Rhinolophus ferrumequinum: one gene and its partner. The protein of the gene in region 2 interacts with the protein of the main gene of each other region in a pairwise test. Links are inferred from orthologs where the notes say so. Each region holds a gene or a part of one and is shown on either strand. Other genes may lie near its edges.

Region 1 (9,902 bases), on a different chromosome or scaffold from region 2:
AAGAACAACCCCGACTTATGAGACTTATGATGTGTTTGTTTGACTTCCCCTATCAACAATGTCATTCTTCTAAAACCCTTCTCATGGTGAGCATAAAACAAAATGGATGTACTGTTCCAGGAGTTTCCCTGACCTATTTTATAAAAATAGTCATCATTTTCACTCTCTGCCACATTTCAGAGATGACAACCCAGTTGACTCAGTAAGTGGTGGCCTCCGGTGCAAAGATATGGTTGCAGGTGCCATCAGAAGGGACTACAAATCGCCTTCTTTTTCTCCTATTGGTGAAACTCTGCTGTAAGCCACTCACATTCCATCACCCAAGTTTCCGTTAGGTTGGTGATAGGGAGCCAGGAATGGAAACTCAGTTTCTTCAAAGGAATCTGACTAGCCCAGGTTGTAGTCCTCAGTTGATGCAAAGATTGAGTCATGAGGGGCGGCTGGATGGCTCAGTCAGTTAGAGCGCGAGCTCTGAACAGCAGGGTTCCCAGTTCGATTCCCACATGAGCCAGTGAGCTGTGCCCTCCACAATTAGATTGAAGACGAGCTGCTGCTGAGATTCCGGAAAGGGTGGCCGGATGGCTCAGTTGGTTAGAGCACGAGCTCTCAACAACAAGGTTGCCGGCTGCACCAGTGCCCCTGCAACTAAAGATTGAAAACAGCAACTGGACTTGGAGCTGAGCTGCACCCTCCACAACTAGATTGAAGGACAACGATTTGGAGATGATAGGCCCTGGAGGAACACACTGTTCCCCAACATTCCCCAATAATATTTTTAAAAATTATTCATAAAAAAAAAGATTGAGTCATGATAGGAAACTGCTTATAGCTCTAAGGCACATGGAGACAAATCAGAGAGATGCCAGGCAGCTAACATTGGATACATACTGTGATTTGTGTGATTTAAGTATTTTTAAAGGATGTCTCATCCTGAAGTAAGTTTGTTTTGACATAGTGTTTTCACCTCACCTTGTCAAATTATGAATATATTGTTCCTTTAAAAAAAATCTCATAAACATGTTTATTTAACTCTTGTTTTTAAACATGTTGTTGAGAAACCATTTTAAAAGTAGATTTGTGTTTATATCTGAAAAATGAGTAATGTAAACATGTTGTTTGTTTTGGGGAGGAAGTCTGGAAGAACTGATGAGGATCTAGTCTCAGGCTCCTAGCTGCAGTCATCCTCAATCCCCCCTAAGACTTTTAGCAAAAAGCCTGAGCATCCACCCCATCACCGAACCTGGAGCATAAAGCACCAGTCTCCCTGAACTTCTACTGGGAAAGCTGAATCAAGTTTTCTGCAGACCAAGACCCCAAATCTTTGAGGGCACTCCAACTTCTTTGTGCAGAAATGGGGAAGAAAATCCTGCAGGTGGAGGTCACTGATGGGCATCAGCCCTAGGCAGCAGCAGCAGCCTGGCACAGACACACTGACTGTTCCTGTCAAGTTGGTGTGTGTGTGTCCCTATTTCTCTACTTCACACATTCACTTGCTCCCTGCTCAGCTAAGTAACAGAAATAAATGTTGCATTAATCAAGTGTGTGTGTGTCATATTTTCTCTCCATATTGCCTACACTTTGAAATCCTGAACCTAAAGGTTTTACACTTAACCTTGAGTTTTTACTCAAAATAAAACACATATCCTTTCTTCTTGTAGTTCTTGGCATGCTGAATCTGTGAAAGCCTGTGCAAAACTTGAAGGAACTGTCCTTTGAACCTATCTGAGGAAGTAGAGCTGGAGAAGTGGATCTGTGTGGCTCTAGAGAAGCTATGAAAATGCACTCCTCAGACCTCATGGGAATCATAATTGACCAATGGCCCCAACAGCCACACTCTGAATCTGCTATGCTTCCCATGGGCCACTCTCAAACAAAGACTTAGTGCAGCAGTGATACTACTAAGTCAGGCCCATTTCTACAAGATGCAAGACTCCTCTGATGGTTACCTTGGGCTCAAAGAGTCTCCATAAGGCTGGCTGAAACATTTCTAGAACTGTTCCTACCAATCCATTTGCTTTCCCTCCCTCATTACAGTCTGACTCTTCCTGCCTCTTTTGGCTTCCTCTCCCTTATCCCCTCACAGGTATTTCTCCCAATAAATCTCTTACAAATCTAATCCCACCTTTAATGTCTGCTTCGCTGAGAACCTACACTAACACAGACATGTCCACAAAACAGATTAAAAATGTAAGCCATGATTTCAAAATAAGCTAAGAAAATAATCCAAGACATGAAAGAATAATATGCACCAAAATTTTAAAAAATTCAGGAAAAAAAATGTGACACAGGAAAAGTTACAAATAAAAATCATTTAAAAGATAAAGACTGATCTAGAAGCAATTGAACACAACAAATGATGGCTTAAGAGAATTGAAGATTTTAAAAAACAGCAAAAAGAAAGAGATTTTTTTTAAAGGTACTATTTAGGACCTTTATGGCAGAATTTCTTTAATTTCCCAATAAACTTATTCCAGTTGCTTCACACCTTCATTGTTAAGGGTTTCTCTAAATCTAATTATTAGCTACCTCCCTTTTTCATAAACCCAGTGGAGAAGACCAGTTGATCATTATCCATCTCTAACCAAATTATCCAAACCTTCCTTAGAGAATCTTTTTTATTTTCCTTTGCTTAACTTGGAGATCGGGCATTTCTCTTTAATACTGTCCAGTTTCTCCCCATTGACATCTGTGCTGCTTGTTTCTTTGTTTGTTTTGTTTGTTTTGTTTTGTTTTAATGCAAAGCCAATAATTGGAAATACTACCCAGGTCAAAGTATGACCAGTGTTGATATGCAGAATTCATGGATGAGGAATGAAATGGGTTCATCTGTGCTGTAGGGGATTGTGACCTGGTCAAATAACTAGACTTGGATCCTCAACCTAGTCTATCCTAGGCTTTTCCCAGCATGAAAACAAAGAGTGGTCACTTAATCAACATCATCAACAAATATTTATTAAGTGCTTTCAATGTACAAAGAATCATGTTCACTGTTTTAGATGTTTTATGGACATCCTCGATTCATGGGGAGAGTGGTATGGAAGTTTTGCTTTGTTTTGTTTTTATGAACAATACTTTGGATTAAGAACAAAGACATAAATTTAGGTCTAAGTCAGCTTTTGAGATGTATCACTGAAGGAAGGGAACAATTTCAATTAGACCAGTGTCAGAATGAAGGAAGCCACATCTATGTTGGCAGTTAGATTAAAAACAACAACAACAACAACAACAAAACACCAGGAGGGATATTTAGAGGCACCACCAAGTCCTCCTGCTCTTTACTTCTTAGTCACCAGTGCTCAATCTTACTTGGCCCCAAGTAGCCCCAGTTTCAAGCCCATCTTGGAAATAAGACATGAATTCATAATAAAAATTAAAATATGATTATGTTCCTTCAAGCTCCCAAAATACATGTGATAATACGTATGATAATATCATAAACATTGAATGTTTACTTTGGCCAAACACTATCTCATTAAGTCCTCACTCCAACAACCCTGTGAGGTAGCAACTATTATCTTGCTGCTCTAGAACTCAAATCCAGACTGCTGGATTCCAGATGCCAAGTATCTTAACCCTATGTTCTGCTACCTCCCTATGACAAAAAATTAACATAGCCAATCTTATGTTCCAGCTAACCTGCAGTGACAGGAATATTTTATTTTGCTAATACTAGCAGTCCTCCATATCCATGGGTTCCATATCTGTGGGTTCAACCAACCAGGAATCAAAAATATTTTTAAAAACAACAACAAAAAAAAACCCCAGAAACTTAATCCCTAAACAATACGGTATAGTAAATATTTACATAGCATTTACATTGTATGAGCTATTATGAGTAATCTAGAGATAATTTAAAGTATAAGGGAGAATGTGCCTAGGTTATGGGCAAATACTATACCATTTTTATATAAGGGATTTGAACATGGAAAGATTTTGGTATCCACGGTGTGGGGACAGAGTCCCAGAGAGCAGCAGTTTCCAGGCTGTCCGCCTTGTGTGGGGAGGTGATGGCTCTGATAGTGAATGACCATCAACTGTGATTGGTTGGCCATCAGCTGTAACCGGTTGGCCAATTAGCTACTGATGTAACTGCAGGGCTGCATTGATTGGTTGGTTGGTTGGCAGGCAGGGAAGTGAATGGTGGACTGCAGATCATGTGGCTACTACTGCATGTGTCTCGCCCAGCTGCCAGAGAGAATATAGTCGTATGACTCCCCTACCTATGGCTCCGTGGATGTTCCTTTTTGGCCTAGCTACATCCTGCGTTCTTATGTGGGGAACGGGAGCAGAGACCCCGCAGGCTGCCCCACAGGACACATGGCACAGCGAGCAGGATCTCCCGCATGACACATGGAGTCCTGGAATCAATTCCCGGTAGATACTGTGGGATGACTGTACTTGAGGCAATAACTTAAAGTAAAAGCAATGTGTCACAGAGATGAGGCTGTGTGGCAGTGTGAATCAAAGTGGGGCGGGGGGAGAAAGAAGGTGGTGAACTTGAAAGGGAGAGCAGTGAGTGGGGAATTTACAACAGCTGTCCTAAGCAACCCTCAAGTCTTCTTCCAGAGCATTTGGATTATACAGCAAAGGCCTCCTATATTAGAATCAAGCTTAATAACCTAAACGCAAACCAGATATTTAACTCTGCAAGTGATATAGTTACCCATATTTTATTCCATACTTAACATACTTGGACTCTTGCAGCTACAGCAAAGGCCATAGGTTTGTTTACCCATCCAGTCACCAGATTAAGATACACCATAGCTGACTAACGTGTTTGCTATAGGAATCGAGTGAGTTCATTCTAATTCTACATGTTAATTTAACACTTCATAACATTTAGCATATTGTTAATTTGCTAACTTACATTCAAAATACCAACAATATGTGGTAGGGCATATGTTTAAAACTGAAGCTGACTTAAGACTGCCTAGGTTTGAGTCTAGTTTTCATATAAGCTTTGTGATCTTGGGCGTGGTATTTAACCATTTGAAGACAGCTTTCTTCAGCTGCAAAATGGAGTTAACAACGATCTATTTCAGAAGACTGGGGACTAAATGAGGTGAAATGAGGGGACTAAATGAGGGGATTGATATTACTTGAAAGTGTGTTAGCTATTTATCTATGAAGACCAGTTTAATATGAAGAGAAACTAAAATATAAAAAGCATTAAATCTATTAATTTCCGTTCTTTTCCGTCGCCTAAATCTGGCTTTTATCTCTTCTTTCTGTTACTGCATTTTCCCCCTTTTCAAACGGAGAAGAGAACCCACTACTTCAGAGTTCTCCAGAAAGAAAGAAAATCAAGGGAACGCAGGCAGTTAACACATCCAGAAAACAGCCTGCCAGTCTACAGTGCGTTCCTAAAGACCCAGGGTAGGGCACGCCACCACCCCCTATCACCCCGCGCCCCTGAATTTTCGGATGCGGAGACCAGTCCCAAAGAAGCCTTGAGGCCACCTCGCTTCCGGCGGGTTCCTGTAGCAGCGACGTCCAAGTCCCACCCACGCACTCTTACACTTCAAGGTGATTTACATATCGATTGTTTATTGGCCACTCGCATGCACTCGCTCTCCTCATTGGCTGATACTGTCCCATGCCGTCATTCCGGGGAGGATGTCCGCCTGGGCGAGTGAGACTGAGGGTCACAGATATCTACATTTCCGTTTCCGGTTCGCCTCCGGCGCCATGGCGACCAGGAGCGGCCCGAGGTGTCTTTTCACATTAGGCAGATGGCGTCGTGGTCTTGGTGTAGCTCCGCAGTCCCGGGTGAGTGCCTATTGTCACTGCTTTGGGAGAGACTGGAGCTCTGACACGGGTCTGCTCCGAGGAGCGCTCCCGGCAGCCCCTCCCTTAGCGAGCGCCCGCAACCTTCTCTTCCTGCCCGGCAATCAGCTTTTCTTTTCCGGCTTGCAGGCTCTCGCTGCCCTTGTGCCCGGCATATCCCAGGTGGATAACAAGTCCGATTTTCTGGGGAAGAGGCCCCATCGCCGGCACCCCGGCATCCGGCAGCTGCCGCGGGTGCGGCTGCCTCAAGCACTGGCTGACACCGCGCAGTTACTGTTGCTCGGTGAGTAACGGTAGGAAAGGGAGGCTCGAGAGCAAGCGGAGACTGGGCCTTCATGCAACTGATGCCGCTTTTCATCTTTGGCCCATAGAGAATCCAATACCCAATGTGGAGAAGCAGGTGCAAGCACTGACCAATTATCTCTGGAGCCGGCATGTACCCGTAGAGCCAGAGGAATTGCAAAGGCGGGCTATGCATCTTGAGAAGAAAATCCTGGAAAACCTAGGTAGGGTTTAAGAATAACTAAAAAGTAGGTCACATTGAAATAACAATGGGAAATGAAGAGCCAGAAATAATTTTAGTCTCTCAAATAGATACTACAGTTTCTTATTTGACTTTCTGGGCGGTTATTACAATGATGCCTTACTAAGAGGAGCTAGATTATTCCAAAGATTGCCCTCCCGGCTTTGGTGAAGGTCAGTGAGGGCTTTAATATCCTGTTGAAATCTAGGTCTTTGTTTTTTTTCCTAACAAATCCACTGGATTAGGACTAAGTTTTTATTCAACTGAAATAAAGCCCCTGTATGGCTCCCTGTCCAGTGCCAAACCCCTCTTGAGGGACAGGAGAATAAGTATAATTTGTCAAGTTATTATTTTCATGATTGTGAGCTCCTTCATATTACAGACCCGGCTTGTTATTCATCTTGTAGTCCCTGTATTACCCACAGTACCTGGCTTATAGTAGGCACTCTATAAAATAGGACTGAACTGAACGCTATCATGAGACTTAAAGTTCCTTTCCTCCGTGTAGGAACATTAGAGACGCACAATCTTAAGTTTTGGGGAAGTGAGGAAATGTACAAAATACTGTCCTTATCCTATTTTGTACATCTTTACCACGCTTCCCTTTAGTATAGAACAAAACCCGTGGGATGGGGTGAATTGAGTTGAATAATCTGCTGTTAGAGGCAAATTACTGTCTGATACACTCTAGTGGTAGTGGTGGAGGTCATTGTTATTCTCACCAGGTTTGGCTTCCTTAAGCTTTGAGGCTTTTCCCGGGTAGGAGTTGGGGCGGAATGGGCAGGCAATAAATTCAAATATTGGATCTGAGCCCTGTTCATCCTAGGTCCTCACTTCCAGTGCTTGTTCTCACCCCAGACTCATCTCAGACAGAGGAGAAACTTCGTGGAGCAGTGCTGCGTGCGCTGCGTAAAACTACCTACCATTGGCAAGAACTGAGGTAAGAGGGACTAGAAGGGTTACAGAGGAAAGAAAAGTTTGACTTTTCAAGGAGAATTGGAGAAGTACAATTACACAATTTTGTGTTTGAAAAAGCTACCTGGTTTCTAAGGCTCCCCAGGACTTTTCCTGTGTTGTAGTGTGAAAGTGATAACATGGAAGAACCCTTTCCAGAGATTTCATTTCCTAAAAAATCTAGAAGCAGCTATGGAATAGAGATTATTTCCCAGTGGACATGACTCTCTGATTTTTCTGGCAGCTACAATGAGGGACTGAGCCTGGTGTATATGGCAGCAAGACTGGATGGTGGCTTTGCAGCAGTCTCCAGGGCATTCCATGAGGTGAAAGCCCCTCAGCTTCCAACCTGAACCCTTTTACCATCGGTTCCCTTATAAAGTAGTCTTCTGGGGTAGGATTCTTGGGACATTGCATGTGCATTTTTTTAAGGGGCTCTCTTTATCCTCTGAAAGGATTTTGTGACCTAAGAAAGGTTTAGAGTCACTGTTTTAGGAGCTTCCTATTCTATAAAGTATTTAAATTGAATCTCAAAAGACATTCACATCTCCTCTGTCCTGGTCTCCTAATCATATTTACCACGGCCCTAAATAAGAGTCTGCTTACCCTACTGTGGGGTGTTGTATATTTCTTCAGATCCAGACTCAAATTCCAGAGTTCCAACCACAAACCTTGATGGACTTTGGATCGGGTACTGGGTCTGTCACCTGGTGAGTATCTTTCTCTTTATACATTCTAGTTTTAGAGAGCCATGCTTACACCACTCCAACATCAAGAGACTGGGGAATCAAGAATAGGAAAGTTGGGAACTAAAATGTTTCTTCCCTCAGGTTAGGCAAGGCATGAGAAGGTTTATAAATTAAGGCCAAAACTTAAATGTCAGGTGAAAAAGGACCGTGTATAGAAAGATAAAAAAGGAAAGGAATTTAGGGCATAAGTTTTGTATATCATCAAAATTTTTGTCTACAAGTAGTGTTTGAGTCTGCCTTTTTTTTTCTTTAAGGAGTTGTAAATGAAATAAGAAAATAACATTGTTAGTTTTTCCAACTATTTTAATATAACACTTTGTTTCCCCAGGGTGGGGTTGGTGGTAGAGGGATTTCTTGTAAGAATGACTTTTTGTCATGAGAACTGCTGATTTATATTTTGCCATCTTAGGGCTGCTCATAGTATTTGGGGCCAGAGCATACGTGAATATATGTGTGTGGACAGTTCGGCTGCCATGTTGGATCTGGCAGAAAAGCTACTGAAAGGTGAGCTATAAGGAAGGACTTTCCAAAGTTGAAGGAGTTAATAAAGCAAAGTAATACTAGAAATAACTTTATATTCAGGAGTAAAGGAGTGGGCTAAAAGTTAAGATGAGTGTGGTCTCCTTCCAATATTATGGTCAAGCAGAGGGTGGTGGAGGCCTTTGCTGGACTATGGATGGGTTGGGTAAAATTAACAGGACAGGTGACCTAATATTCTTCCTGTCCTTTTTAATGTTTGTTTACCCCATTGCGTCTCACTCTCGCCTAGCATTTTCCTTTATTGTCGGGGCCATGTTTCTCATCAGGATATCACCTCAGTTTATACCTATACACTCATAGTTGCCACACCTCTCCTTTCCTCCACAGGTGGTTCAGAATCTGGAGAACCTTATGTTCCAAGTGTCTTTTTCAGACAGTTTCTACCTGTATCACCCAAGGCAAGTGGCAATGTGTAGAGTATGCCAGCTAAATGCGGAATTTGGCAGATGGAAAAGTGTGTCCTCGGCTTTGCAACCCAGCAGTGAGTGTCAGAAGAGAAAAGGCAGCAGAAGAAATCTAGGGAGCTAGACTGTCATGCTCTTGGCAGGGGAGATGTCGAGCCTGTCGTGTCCCTGTCTTGGTCCTCAGGTACAATTCAATGTGGTGGTCTCAGCCTTTTCCCTGAGTGAACTGCCCAGCAAGGCTGAGCGCGCTGAGGTCGTTCAAACCCTGTGGCGCAAGACAAGTAATTTTCTGGTGAGCTGAAACCCCTTTTCCCTTCAAGTTTTAAAGTAGCTTCATGGTTTTCATGCCTTTCCTTCTGTCCATTGGAGCTTGTCTTCGTTCTTTTCTCCTGCACAGAATCCTTTGTCCCTCTTTTACGGTCTCCATCCTCATCTTGTATATAATACCATTTCGTTTAGGACCACTATTCCATCTGTGAATGTTCTTACAGAGCTACATTGATGTTTTCATGTAGTTCAGGGCCTCTGCTCAGTTTCCCCTTTTGTGAACAGATACTGGTGGAGAATGGAACAAAAGCTGGGCACTGCCTGCTCATGGAAGCCAGGGACCTCGTCCTTAAGGTAAGGTTCTTTCCCTTCTCCGCCCACCTCCCCACTTATCTGTCACCAACTACTGGTACTCCTTTGAAAACTGAAGAGACTCTGTCATACAATGGTAAGGGTGACTCAGGGTAGTAGGCCTATGAAGTCATTAGGCTATAGGGCAATGGTTGGCAAACTAGGGCCTGTGGATCAAATCCAGCCTGTCACCTGTGTTCGTATGAGCCAGGCTTATTTGAGTGTCTCTTGTGTATGGGTGCTTTCACACTACAAACGGTAGAGATGAATAGTTGGGACAGAAACAGATTTTGCCTATTCTCAGGGCCTTCAAAACAAAGTTTGCCA
Region 2 (9,822 bases):
CCCAAATCACATATAAATGGTGTAGTATTTATATACGTACATATTTATATACGTATATCCTGTATGCTTCAAATCATCTCTGTGTTACTTATAATAAATACCTAATACAACGTAAGTGCTATACTGTACTGTTTAGGGAATAATGACAAGGAAAAAAATCTGTACCATGTTCAGTACCAAGTGCAACCATGGTAGGCCTAACTACACAGTACACGTAAGACAGATGTAACTTTTTTCCTGAGTATTTTCTATCCTCGATTGATTGAACCCAGGATAGAGAACCAACTGTACTAGAGTTGCAAATAATTGGACCAGGGCTAAGAAGACCCAGGTTCTGCCACTTGGGAACCATGCAATCTGGGGAAGTCACTTCTCAGTTAAAAATACAGTCACAACAGGTATGCTTGTGTTGACTGCTGTGAGAATCAGATGAGACAATAATAGACTCAAAAGTGTTTTGTAAACTCTTGGGAGATTATTATTTCATGATTAGAGGAAGAGAAAACAGCATTTAGTGACAAAGTTGTAAAGGTAGATGTCAGGGAAGGTGGTCGATGAGAAGGAAGAACGCAGCAGTTGCTTCTGGGAAGACTCAGCAGTCAGTGGTGACGGTGGCTGAGAGCTCCTGGATGCGCCAGGCGCTACAGGCCTTGCACAAGATGTGCCCATCCAGCGGATAACAGCCCTGACACTCACCCTCAGAGGAGAGCAGCAGCCCACACTCCTATTAGGAAAAAAGCAACAGCTTTCCATCAGGCCCAAACCCCTGGTTTCTACCATACCCAATATCCCCAGACCCCAATAACCCCAATAACCCCTTGCCCAGACCCCCTGACCTCGCACTTGTAACAGCCGATGTGAAAACTGCGATCCAGAGCAACAATTCGCACGGTCTCCTCCTGACCTGGCTCAGGCATGATGGCCCCACCACACACTGAGCATCGTGGAGCGAACTTCCTGGTGTAGAAGGGAACCAAGGAGGGTGTCAAGCCCCAGGTGTGGAGGGGACTGACGGTAGAGCCCAGAGAAGATGAGATGCGGAAGGGAACAGAAGAGCCCAGAGGTATGGTCTTGGATTTGGGGGAAGAGTGATGTTAACGAGAACAAGGCATGGCAAGGGTGAGAAACAGGAGAGGCTGGTACTGGGACAGGAAGAAGAAATGAGGAAGACAGGAAAGGCCAGACATCCTGAGCCAAAGGTGGGGGACCCAGCCTGACCTGTGGAAGTCCTCAATGCAGTGGATCTGGCTGGTGGCATCCACCGTGAAAGGGATGCCATCGAGGCCACGATGGCACACCACACAAGTGAAGCAGCCAGGGTGATAGGCCTTCCCCATAGCCCGCAGGATCCGGTCCAGGATAGGCTGAGAACATGTGGAGCACTTCTCCAAGGTGGCCTGTTGGGAAGGAGGTCAGAAAGGTCGGGGGCTGGGGAGGCCCACAGCAGCCCTACAGGCATCCTGCCACCCCACCCATCTGTTTATGGAGCCCCCTGCATATGATTTAGTGAAAGGTGGCCTTGTGCAGATCTGAGTGCAAATTCCAGCACTGCAGCTTCCTGAACAAGTTATTTGACTTCTCTGAGCTTCAATTTCCTTCAGTAGTAATATCTGCCTCACAGCATGTTGTGGGAATTTAACACTCTTTTAACTCCAAACTAAAAGCCTCACATTTGTAAGGGGCTGTTGTCCTTCCCCCAGCAGCCGGTGTTTAGCTACCTAATTCCTCCCTTCTTGTTTTAGTCCCCCAACTTTGAGCGCTCTTCCTCTTTGGGATTTGGACATCTTTCCCACCTTAGATGGAAGCCCCTTGCCTCCTCTGCTGATTCCAGCCTCCAGCCCCACCCACTCACCACATAGCAGCTCTCACAATATGCCCTCCTCTCCACGGCATAGAAATGTTGGCCCCGAAGCTGGGCCTGGCACGTAGAACACACAAAGCAGCTAACATGAAAGATGCGGTCCAGGGCCACAACCCCGGCCCCATCCCCAACCACATCTTCTCCGCAGCCACCACACCGGCCTGGGGACAGGGAGGGACAGGGTCAACCTGCATAGGCCAGGAAGCCAGGTCTGCTATCCCTCTGTCTCTCCAGCCCCCCACCCTTTCCACCCACCCTCAGACTTAGCTCACCAAAGTACTCCCCACTGGGCGGGTGGCTCATGTCGTGCACCAGCTTCTTGGTCAGCCTCTCGAGCTCCTCCTCGGGAGGCTGGCTCAGGGAGACCTGGGAGATGAGAATCAGAGGTTCAGCCCTACCTCTAGCTCTCGATGCTGTCAAAACACCTGAGGGTGACCAGGCAATTCCACCCAAAAAAGCTCTCGCTGAAGAACATGTCATCCCAGGGCCCAGGGACATGTCTCGAGCTAGTGTGCCACTCCAGCCCCCTACCTCCTACTTTTCCTGACCTGCCCCACATCCCCAGAGGGGTCCAGAGCTCTGGCACCCCAGACATCTGACAACCAGGCCTTAAATATCACTCCCATCCCACCCAATCAGTGTCCAATTGTCTGTGAGGACCCCAAATCTCAGTGCCTGGGGCTTACCTGGGGCCCATACCTGCCTCCTCTTCCTCCTCCTGCAGGGATGGAGACCCCAGCAGCCTCCTCTTTACCCCCGGGCCCTGGCTCTCGGTGGCTCCTATAGCCAGCCCCCCAGACTTCACTTCGGCCTGGGAGAGGAAAGTGGGGGCCCAGAAGGGGCCCAGAGGCCTGAGAGGCCCCCCGCCTGGGGGGGCCACAGCCTCTCACTGGTTGTGCCACCTTCACTTGCACAGGGAAGGCAGGGCCAGCGGGAGTGCTGGCTGTAGCATAGGAGGCTGGAGTGGGGCCCCCATAGGGGGACACTGGGAGCAGTGGGGGAGGAACACCACCTCCATTTGACTTCAGGGAGCCCAAGCCAGGGCGGTAGGCAGGGGGCTGAGGGGGCTCGTAAGCCTGGGGAGAAATGCAGAGGAAAAGGAGTGAGGTGGCCCATTACAGGACACACACCTGTGAACACCCCAGCCCCACCCCATGTGTGTGGCCACCAGGTAAGGGCTGGTTTCTGACAAAGGCCCACCCTGGAGAAGCTGACAACCCAGAAGTTCTGGTGGCCCAGCTCCTTCCATGCTGGTGTGTGGCATCACTTACACAGAGGGGGAGGTGAAGTGGGAGTAGGCTGAGTGGACAGAGAAGGGACAGGGCTAAGAAAAGGGGGGCAGGGGCAGGACAGGGGGGTCACCTGCCGGTCAGGCCTCCGAGGAGCATGACCACGACCCCCATCCAGCTCAGCCAGCATGCTAGTCAGAGAATCTATCTCAGCATCCAGACTTCCTGGGCGCTGGCCCCCCCTGTCTGGGGGGGGGCCCTAGGGATAGAGCAAAAGCAGGGAGAATGCAAATCACATGGCCTCCTCTCCCGCCCTGAATGCCCCCCAACCCCCCAATCCCAGTTCTCACCTGCGAACGCTGGGGTGTTCCATGGCAACCCACCCAGGCTGGCCCCAGATCCTCGGGCCCCCCAGGGACCTGGTAACACTGCTCAGATGGGAGGGGGCAAAAATTGACCCTGGGGTGGGGCTGAAGTGCTGGGGTGAGGGAAGAGAGTGAAGGTGGGGATGGGGAAGGAGACAAGGGTGACACTTGTGGAGGACCCTCTCAGGTCCTTTTCTCCCCTTCCCCCCAGATCCTGGGGTCTGAGAATGTGGCAGGAGGCAGGGAGGGCCGAGAAAGGGCAGGGGCAGCTGATTTCCAGCCTGGCTTCGGGGAAGGGGCGGCAGGGGAAAGCTCGGCGGGAGGCAGGGGCCCGCTGGCGGGTGGCTTCCTCCATCGCACAGGGGTTGCCTTACCTGCTCCGTGAGCTGGCGGCGGCCCCAGGGCGCCTCGGGGGAGAGCTCGCCCCAGAGAGGCTCTGGCGGGCTCTGGCTGCTTCGGGGGGAGCCAGGTGGGCCCCGACATGGCCTAGAATGGGCGTCTCCAGACAGCGCGTTCAGGGTCCCACGGAGCCCGAAGCCTCTGGACTTGACCCTTTCTTCGGTCGCTCACCTCGTTTGGGACTCCAGGAAAGAAACTTTTTCTGGCTTTTTTTCCCCTTCCTCCCTAATTTGGGGGACGGCCACGCCCCCGTGACGTCACCGCATTCCTGGGGGAGGGTCACGTGGCCCCCTAGGCCCTAAACCGCGTTCTTCCCCGGAGTCGGCCCCCTCCTGCCCAACAAGGAGGGCTTTCCACGGGAGCCCGTCTGAGGGGCCGTGGGCAGCTTCCATTTCCACGAGTCCCCCCAGGTCCGCTCCCCAAGTCCTGCACGTGGCCACCTCGCCTCTGGGACATTCCAGTGCTCCTCTTTCCCAGGTTCCCCTTATACAGATGTCTCCCTTTTCCAGTCCCACCTATCCCATCAGTAGTGTTCAGCCAGCAGTAGTGTTTTGGTCGTTTATTGACATTCAGCAGTTAGAAAAATAAAACAACAAAAACGTCACAACCTCACTGGTCAGTGAGTCTGTTGGGCAAAGGGAGACTGAGGTAGCCTAGACTCACAAGCGGAGACCCAGCCCCCATGAAGGCACCAATTAAGGGAGGGAGGGGGCAGGGCTGACTCCCTCTCCTTTGTGGCAGGGATAGCTTCCCAGCATTAGTGCACCAGGACCCCTCTCCCAAAGACAGAGAGATGCCCCAGCCCAGGATCCCCTAATACCTCTACCTGGCTCTGTGTCCCACATGCAGGGCAGGCCCAAGGTGGCCCTTCCCCTCCTCATCCACTAATCAAAGTGGGCCACCAGACCTGGACACTCCACTTCAGGAATGGAGCATCAGAGATCAGTGCAAGTGACAGGGGTGACACCATGAATGAGCAGTGTGGGACCCAGATCTCGGCTCAGAATCTCCAGAAGTGCCAGGTAGCGAGGGTAGCGCGCAGGATCAGCAGGTGGCCGAGGCAGGTATAGGAAGGTGAGGGCAGTGGTGGGCCCCTCCCTGCCATCCCCACTCTCAGGCCCCCCAGGCACTCCTCCTCTGCCTCGCCCCTGCTGGGCCCGAACCAGGGCGTTGGCGCTGCATGCCAGGGCCTCTGCCTCAGCGTCTCCTCGCCTGCCGTTCACAAAGTCCCCTTCCTCCTCCTCCTCAGGCTCTCCGGAACCAGCCCCATCGCCCCACACCACCTCCTGCACCTCAGCCCGGATCCTCAACTGGCTCAGCAGGGCTCGGAGTCGCCCCTCGGCCGCCCCTGGGGCCTCTCGAGGCCCCAGGCACAAGAAGATCCGTAGCCTGGCACTGTGCCAAGCAGGCACCATGCCCAAGATGGTTGCCATCTGCAGCAGGAAGAGACCGCAGACGTCCACATAGCCAGGCCCACCCCGGGGCCGCAGAAGGTTGAGGGGCCACACATCCACGTGATGGGGCTGAGAGGTGCCCCCAGACGCCCGGCTTAGCCGCTCAGGGGGCAGGGCCCCACAGGCTCTCGCCAGAACCACGTTCTTGTTCATCTTGAGGGCGTCCGCTACCGTGGCCACGTAGTCCTGGGGACTGAGAGCCCGGGGACTCCCAGGAGCCCGGGGTGGAGGGAACAGGGTGCTCAGGGCTGGGGACCCACCCTCCTGGGTGCCATCAGCAGGCTCAGAGAAAGCCGGGTCTGTCAGGAAGTGGTCCTGAGGTGCAGCATCATCGTAGAAACCCAGGACCAACGTGTTCGGCTTCATGCCACCTGGGGACAGAGAAGGGGAGGTGGGAAGGAACCGACAGGAATCAGACTCACCAGCTGAGTTTTCACCATGCGATACACATCCACTCGTACACACTGATGGCAACATTGGATATGACATTCATTCCACTGTGCTTGGGCTCTTAGGACAACATTATGCATGTTTGCATGATGACTTTTAGTTTTCCCACATTTGCATGCATTTATTTGACTTATCTCCATGACTAATCTTCCCTGTTTAAATAGGCAAAGCAAGTTCACCTTAAGATTCTTTTAACTAATGAGCACTTTTGGTGGCAGTAGGATGCCTTCAATCCAAGCTTCTAGCAGCACATCTTTTTCATGATGGGAGTCTGACTCCACTGGGTAGACCAGACCCCCTAATTAGTCAAGCTCATGGCCTCAATATCCAGGGAAACAGCACCCAGACCTTGCTGGGGGAGGATGAGAACTCAGGGCCGGGGCTGTGCAATCTCTTTCCCTAATGACGGCATGTCCAAAGCACGACGCCCAGAGATCAGACAGCTAACATCTATCTGCACACTAACCAGGGGCCACGTCCTATTGAAAGCACTTCATGTTTTAACTCATCTGATCCTTGAAGCAACACCATGAGGTAGGGACTATTTACTCACTCCCTTTTACAGATAAGGAAACTGAGGCCCAGAGCAGTGAAGTCACCTGCCCAAAGGCTCATGGATGGTAAATACTGGGGCGGCAGGTGAACACAATGTACCCAGCACTCCAGCCCATTCTCTGAGCCTCTGAGTTTGTATGTGTACCAATCACAACGCCCCAAGTCCCTGCCAACAGTTCCTGGTTTTTAAGTTTTTGAACAACCAATATGGAATTGGATAATTTCTCCACCCCCTCAAGAGGGGAGACTATGGAGGAAGACTCTGAGACCTCTCCTTAGACCCTTTCTCTTGAAACAAATGGGTTACCAGGAGAATTTACTATTTAAAGGAAATCTCTTTCCTTTTATTTGAATCATTTTCCACAGAATAAATTGCATGAAAGTAGTGGTCTCTTGGCATAGGTTTCCCCACAAAATGTGGGGCTGTGGAGAGACCAGGCCCTCAGCTGCTCCAGGGTCTATCTCATAATGCTTGACAACATCCAAAAACACCTTGGAACTCTAGCTGTTCTTGCAAATTAAACTAATCACACCCCCTCCTGAGCATTTTCCAGGGTTCTCATTTACACCAAATAGGGCAATGTCCAACACTTGATCTTTACCCTGATTCTAAGTGGAGAAGGAAGCATACACTCAGAGAGAGGGCAGACACCTGTACCGGGATTAAGAAAGAAGGAGGTGGCTGAGCAAAGATTTGGAGGAAGCTGGGGTGCAAGACCGGAGGCCTCAGCACTAAGACAGTCACAAAGCTGGGCATCTTCCATTCCACCCAAAAGCATCAGCCTCATACACCCTCTGCATCTCTGCGGTCTCTGGGGGCCATGTTACACCACTCCCTACTTCTCAGCCCCTTTCAAGGCCCAGCTGAAAGATCATCTCATCACAATACTTTTGCTGGCTATATCAGTGCATAGTGGTCTTCCTTTCTCGGAACTTGAGTGGTTAGAAACCATCTGTCACAGATTTGATGGGGCGGCCCCTGGCCTCAAATAATTCTCCCATTATCCCCAGAAATACAACATACTCTTTGGAATCTGTGCCCCAATTTTTGGATCAGAAAAAAATAAGTGTCACCCCATCTCTAGTCCTTAAACATCTCTTCCGAGACCTGACCACACACTGTTATCTTTGAGTGCTATGTCTTATCTGCACTAAACTGAGGGTTTGGAGTTTGTAATCTGCGGTCTAGTCTCTTGGGTGGTGGTGGGGTCACGGGTATAGCAGAGACTGACAAGAGCCACAAAGGAGGCAGAGGGGACCCAGAGAGGAGCAGCTTACCAAGACCCGAGATCCGCAGCAGATGCTGAGCCCCCTGACGCACAGAGGGTGAGAGGGTGAGGTCCACGAAGGCTTTCACTTGGGCCCGGTCCACGAGGCTCAGCCATGCCCCATACTGTGGCTGCACAGGGTCTGAGGGCAGGCAATCTGCAGAGAAGGAAAGCAGCAAATATGGGCCAAACTCATGGACTTTGTCCTAGAGTCCAAATCCCCAATGGGCAGAAGAAAAAGGTCTGGGAGGACTGTGTGCTGGTTGTTTAAGGTTCATCTGGGAAGAAGCATGAATCCTCTGGGACATAAAGAACACCAAGAGCTTCTGAGACCGACAGGGAAAGGAGGAATGGAGGGCAACTCACCAAGGTCTCCCAGGGTGACATGACCCAGCACATAGAGGCCCCCCTTCTTGAGCTGGTTGGCCAACCTCAGCAGGGGCAGGGCACCCCGGGGGTTCCCCACCAGCAGCAGCAGCTGGGGCCGCCAGAACTTCACGTGCTCCTTCCGGACGTCCAGCCGGAGCAGGTATTTACGCACCTGGGGACAGGGTAAGGTGGTGGGGAGGAAGGGCTTAAGTGGGCAGTCCCCACTCAACACATCTCAGACAGGAACCCTAACTCTAGCCAAGAGAAAAAGAGGCCTCCTTGTAGGGTAGGTTTTCCCAGACTGCCTCCTCCCCTTCCCACCCTCCTCCAAGCTCCCCTGACCTGGTGGAAAAGCAAGGCCTGGCTGACATAGCCCCAGCTGCTGGGGCCGCCTCGAGCAGTGAGCAGGGCAGAAAGCAGGCCCATGAGCAGCAAGGAGCCGCCAGCAGCCCCGGGGCTGATGAGAAACATCATGAGCAGGCAGGAGGCCACCCCCAGCAAGCAGGTGTGCCAGGAGAACAGACTGAAGGTGGGGCTGTAGGTAGACAGAAGGAAGGACACTCAGGACCGGCTGAACACTAGGCCACCCCACTCCAATCCCAGCCTCCCCACCTTGGTCTGAGTTCCTCCCATTCCTCCCTCTTTTTCTGGGGACATGGGCATCTTATTCTCTCACCGGAAGTTGGGGGCTGAGGCCCACTCCAGGCTCAGGCAGGACAGGTCCACCGCAGCATAGGCCACCAAATAGAAGACGGTGACCACTGCAGCCAGTGTGTTCAGCTTCCCAGCCAGAAGCACCAGCTGGACAAGGACCAAGAGGCTGGACATTGAGCCAACCCCCCACCAAATGCCAATGCATCCTGCCTTTCATTCACATCTCTCACCCAGAGCCTAAGCGCTCCTGATCCTGCGAGCGTAATCAGGAGGGGCTTAGGGTGAGGGGAAGGGCAGCTTAAAGAGGAAGGCTTACCTGTACTAGGCCCCATGAATAGAGCACGGCCCCCCAAGGGTTACCCCCTCGGGACACAACCTTGGCTGGTGCCAAGATCACTCCTGTGCAAACAGAAATACAACAGACCCATCAGCCTGGGTCTGTTGGGTCTGAACGGAGACTGAGAGACACGGGAGGGCACGCTCAGAGCCCGGCACGGAGGCAGGGGACAGTGTACCAAAGAGGTCGTCCTGGGCCAGGGCGTGAAGGATGCGGGAAGCACCGATGAGGGAGCTCATGGAGGCTGAGAGCGCTGTGGCATAGATACCGATCAACACCAGTGGGGGCCATAGGCTGATGGCGCGAAAGAACCCATAGTCCTCTTGCAGCAGGGTCCTACAGGGAGGGAAAGAGGAGGACACGGAAAAAAATGTGCAGCCATCCAGGGGTCCTTGTGAGAACAGCACTCATAACACTGTGTGAGGTTAAGAGCTATGCATTTTCAACTAACCCCAACCCCCATCTCAAGGACCACAGTAATAGATCAAGTGTGCCGGGGGGTAGACTTGGCATTCATTGGTTATCATTGGACTGCTTTGGGTTTAATCATGTGATGGACATTCCCAACAGTATACACACAAGGAGCCAACTGTTTATGGAAATTGACTAGGAAGCCATTCCCTACCCCACCCCCAAAGCAAGTACTTACAACCGTACCAGGCACGTGGCAAATGCTGGCTGCAAGCTATCTATTACCACTTAGCCAGCCCTCCCACTGGCAGCAGCAGCTCCATTTCTCTCCCATGGAAGAAACAGTCCCCATTTTCCCTGCATCCCATGGGCATCTGCCCCCAAGCCTGTGCTGTCTTTGGTGATTCAACCCCTCCCCAGGCACCTGTCACAGGTGAAGCTGGAGAGGAAGAAAAGCAGGATGTAGATAA

Evidence for each region. The genes of interacting proteins can lie anywhere in the genome.
Region 1: the proteins of TRIP6 (region 2) and METTL17 interact in binary tests that used the Homo sapiens proteins (3 or more experiments, as listed by UniProt). The link is inferred for Rhinolophus ferrumequinum from reciprocal best matches to the Homo sapiens genes TRIP6 and METTL17.

What each region holds. Positions count from the first base shown.
Region 1 is NC_046289.1:71,894,006-71,903,907, forward strand, and holds the start of METTL17 (methyltransferase-like protein 17, mitochondrial), read left to right. Parts: upstream 1-5,616; coding exon 5,617-5,769; intron 5,770-5,916; coding exon 5,917-6,070; intron 6,071-6,158; coding exon 6,159-6,293; intron 6,294-7,168; coding exon 7,169-7,250; intron 7,251-7,508; coding exon 7,509-7,590; intron 7,591-7,900; coding exon 7,901-7,974; intron 7,975-8,422; coding exon 8,423-8,517; intron 8,518-8,880; coding exon 8,881-8,951; intron 8,952-9,141; coding exon 9,142-9,249; intron 9,250-9,509; coding exon 9,510-9,578; intron 9,579-9,902. UniProt on the Homo sapiens protein: Mitochondrial ribosome (mitoribosome) assembly factor. Binds at the interface of the head and body domains of the mitochondrial small ribosomal subunit (mt-SSU), occluding the mRNA channel and preventing compaction of the head domain towards the body.
Region 2 is NC_046290.1:91,070,955-91,080,776, reverse strand, and holds TRIP6 (thyroid receptor-interacting protein 6), read right to left. Parts: upstream 4,264-9,822; 5' UTR 3,939-4,263; coding exon 3,830-3,938; intron 3,569-3,829; coding exon 3,441-3,568; intron 3,350-3,440; coding exon 3,224-3,349; intron 2,938-3,223; coding exon 2,548-2,937; intron 2,228-2,547; coding exon 2,134-2,227; intron 2,023-2,133; coding exon 1,853-2,022; intron 1,398-1,852; coding exon 1,219-1,397; intron 958-1,218; coding exon 837-957; intron 725-836; coding exon 593-724; 3' UTR 454-592; downstream 1-453. Other genes in the region: SLC12A9 (solute carrier family 12 member 9), read right to left, coding at 4,790-5,679, 7,592-7,738, 7,948-8,122, 8,293-8,485, 8,627-8,751, 8,921-9,003, 9,120-9,277, 9,777-9,822. UniProt on the Homo sapiens protein: Relays signals from the cell surface to the nucleus to weaken adherens junction and promote actin cytoskeleton reorganization and cell invasiveness. Involved in lysophosphatidic acid-induced cell adhesion and migration.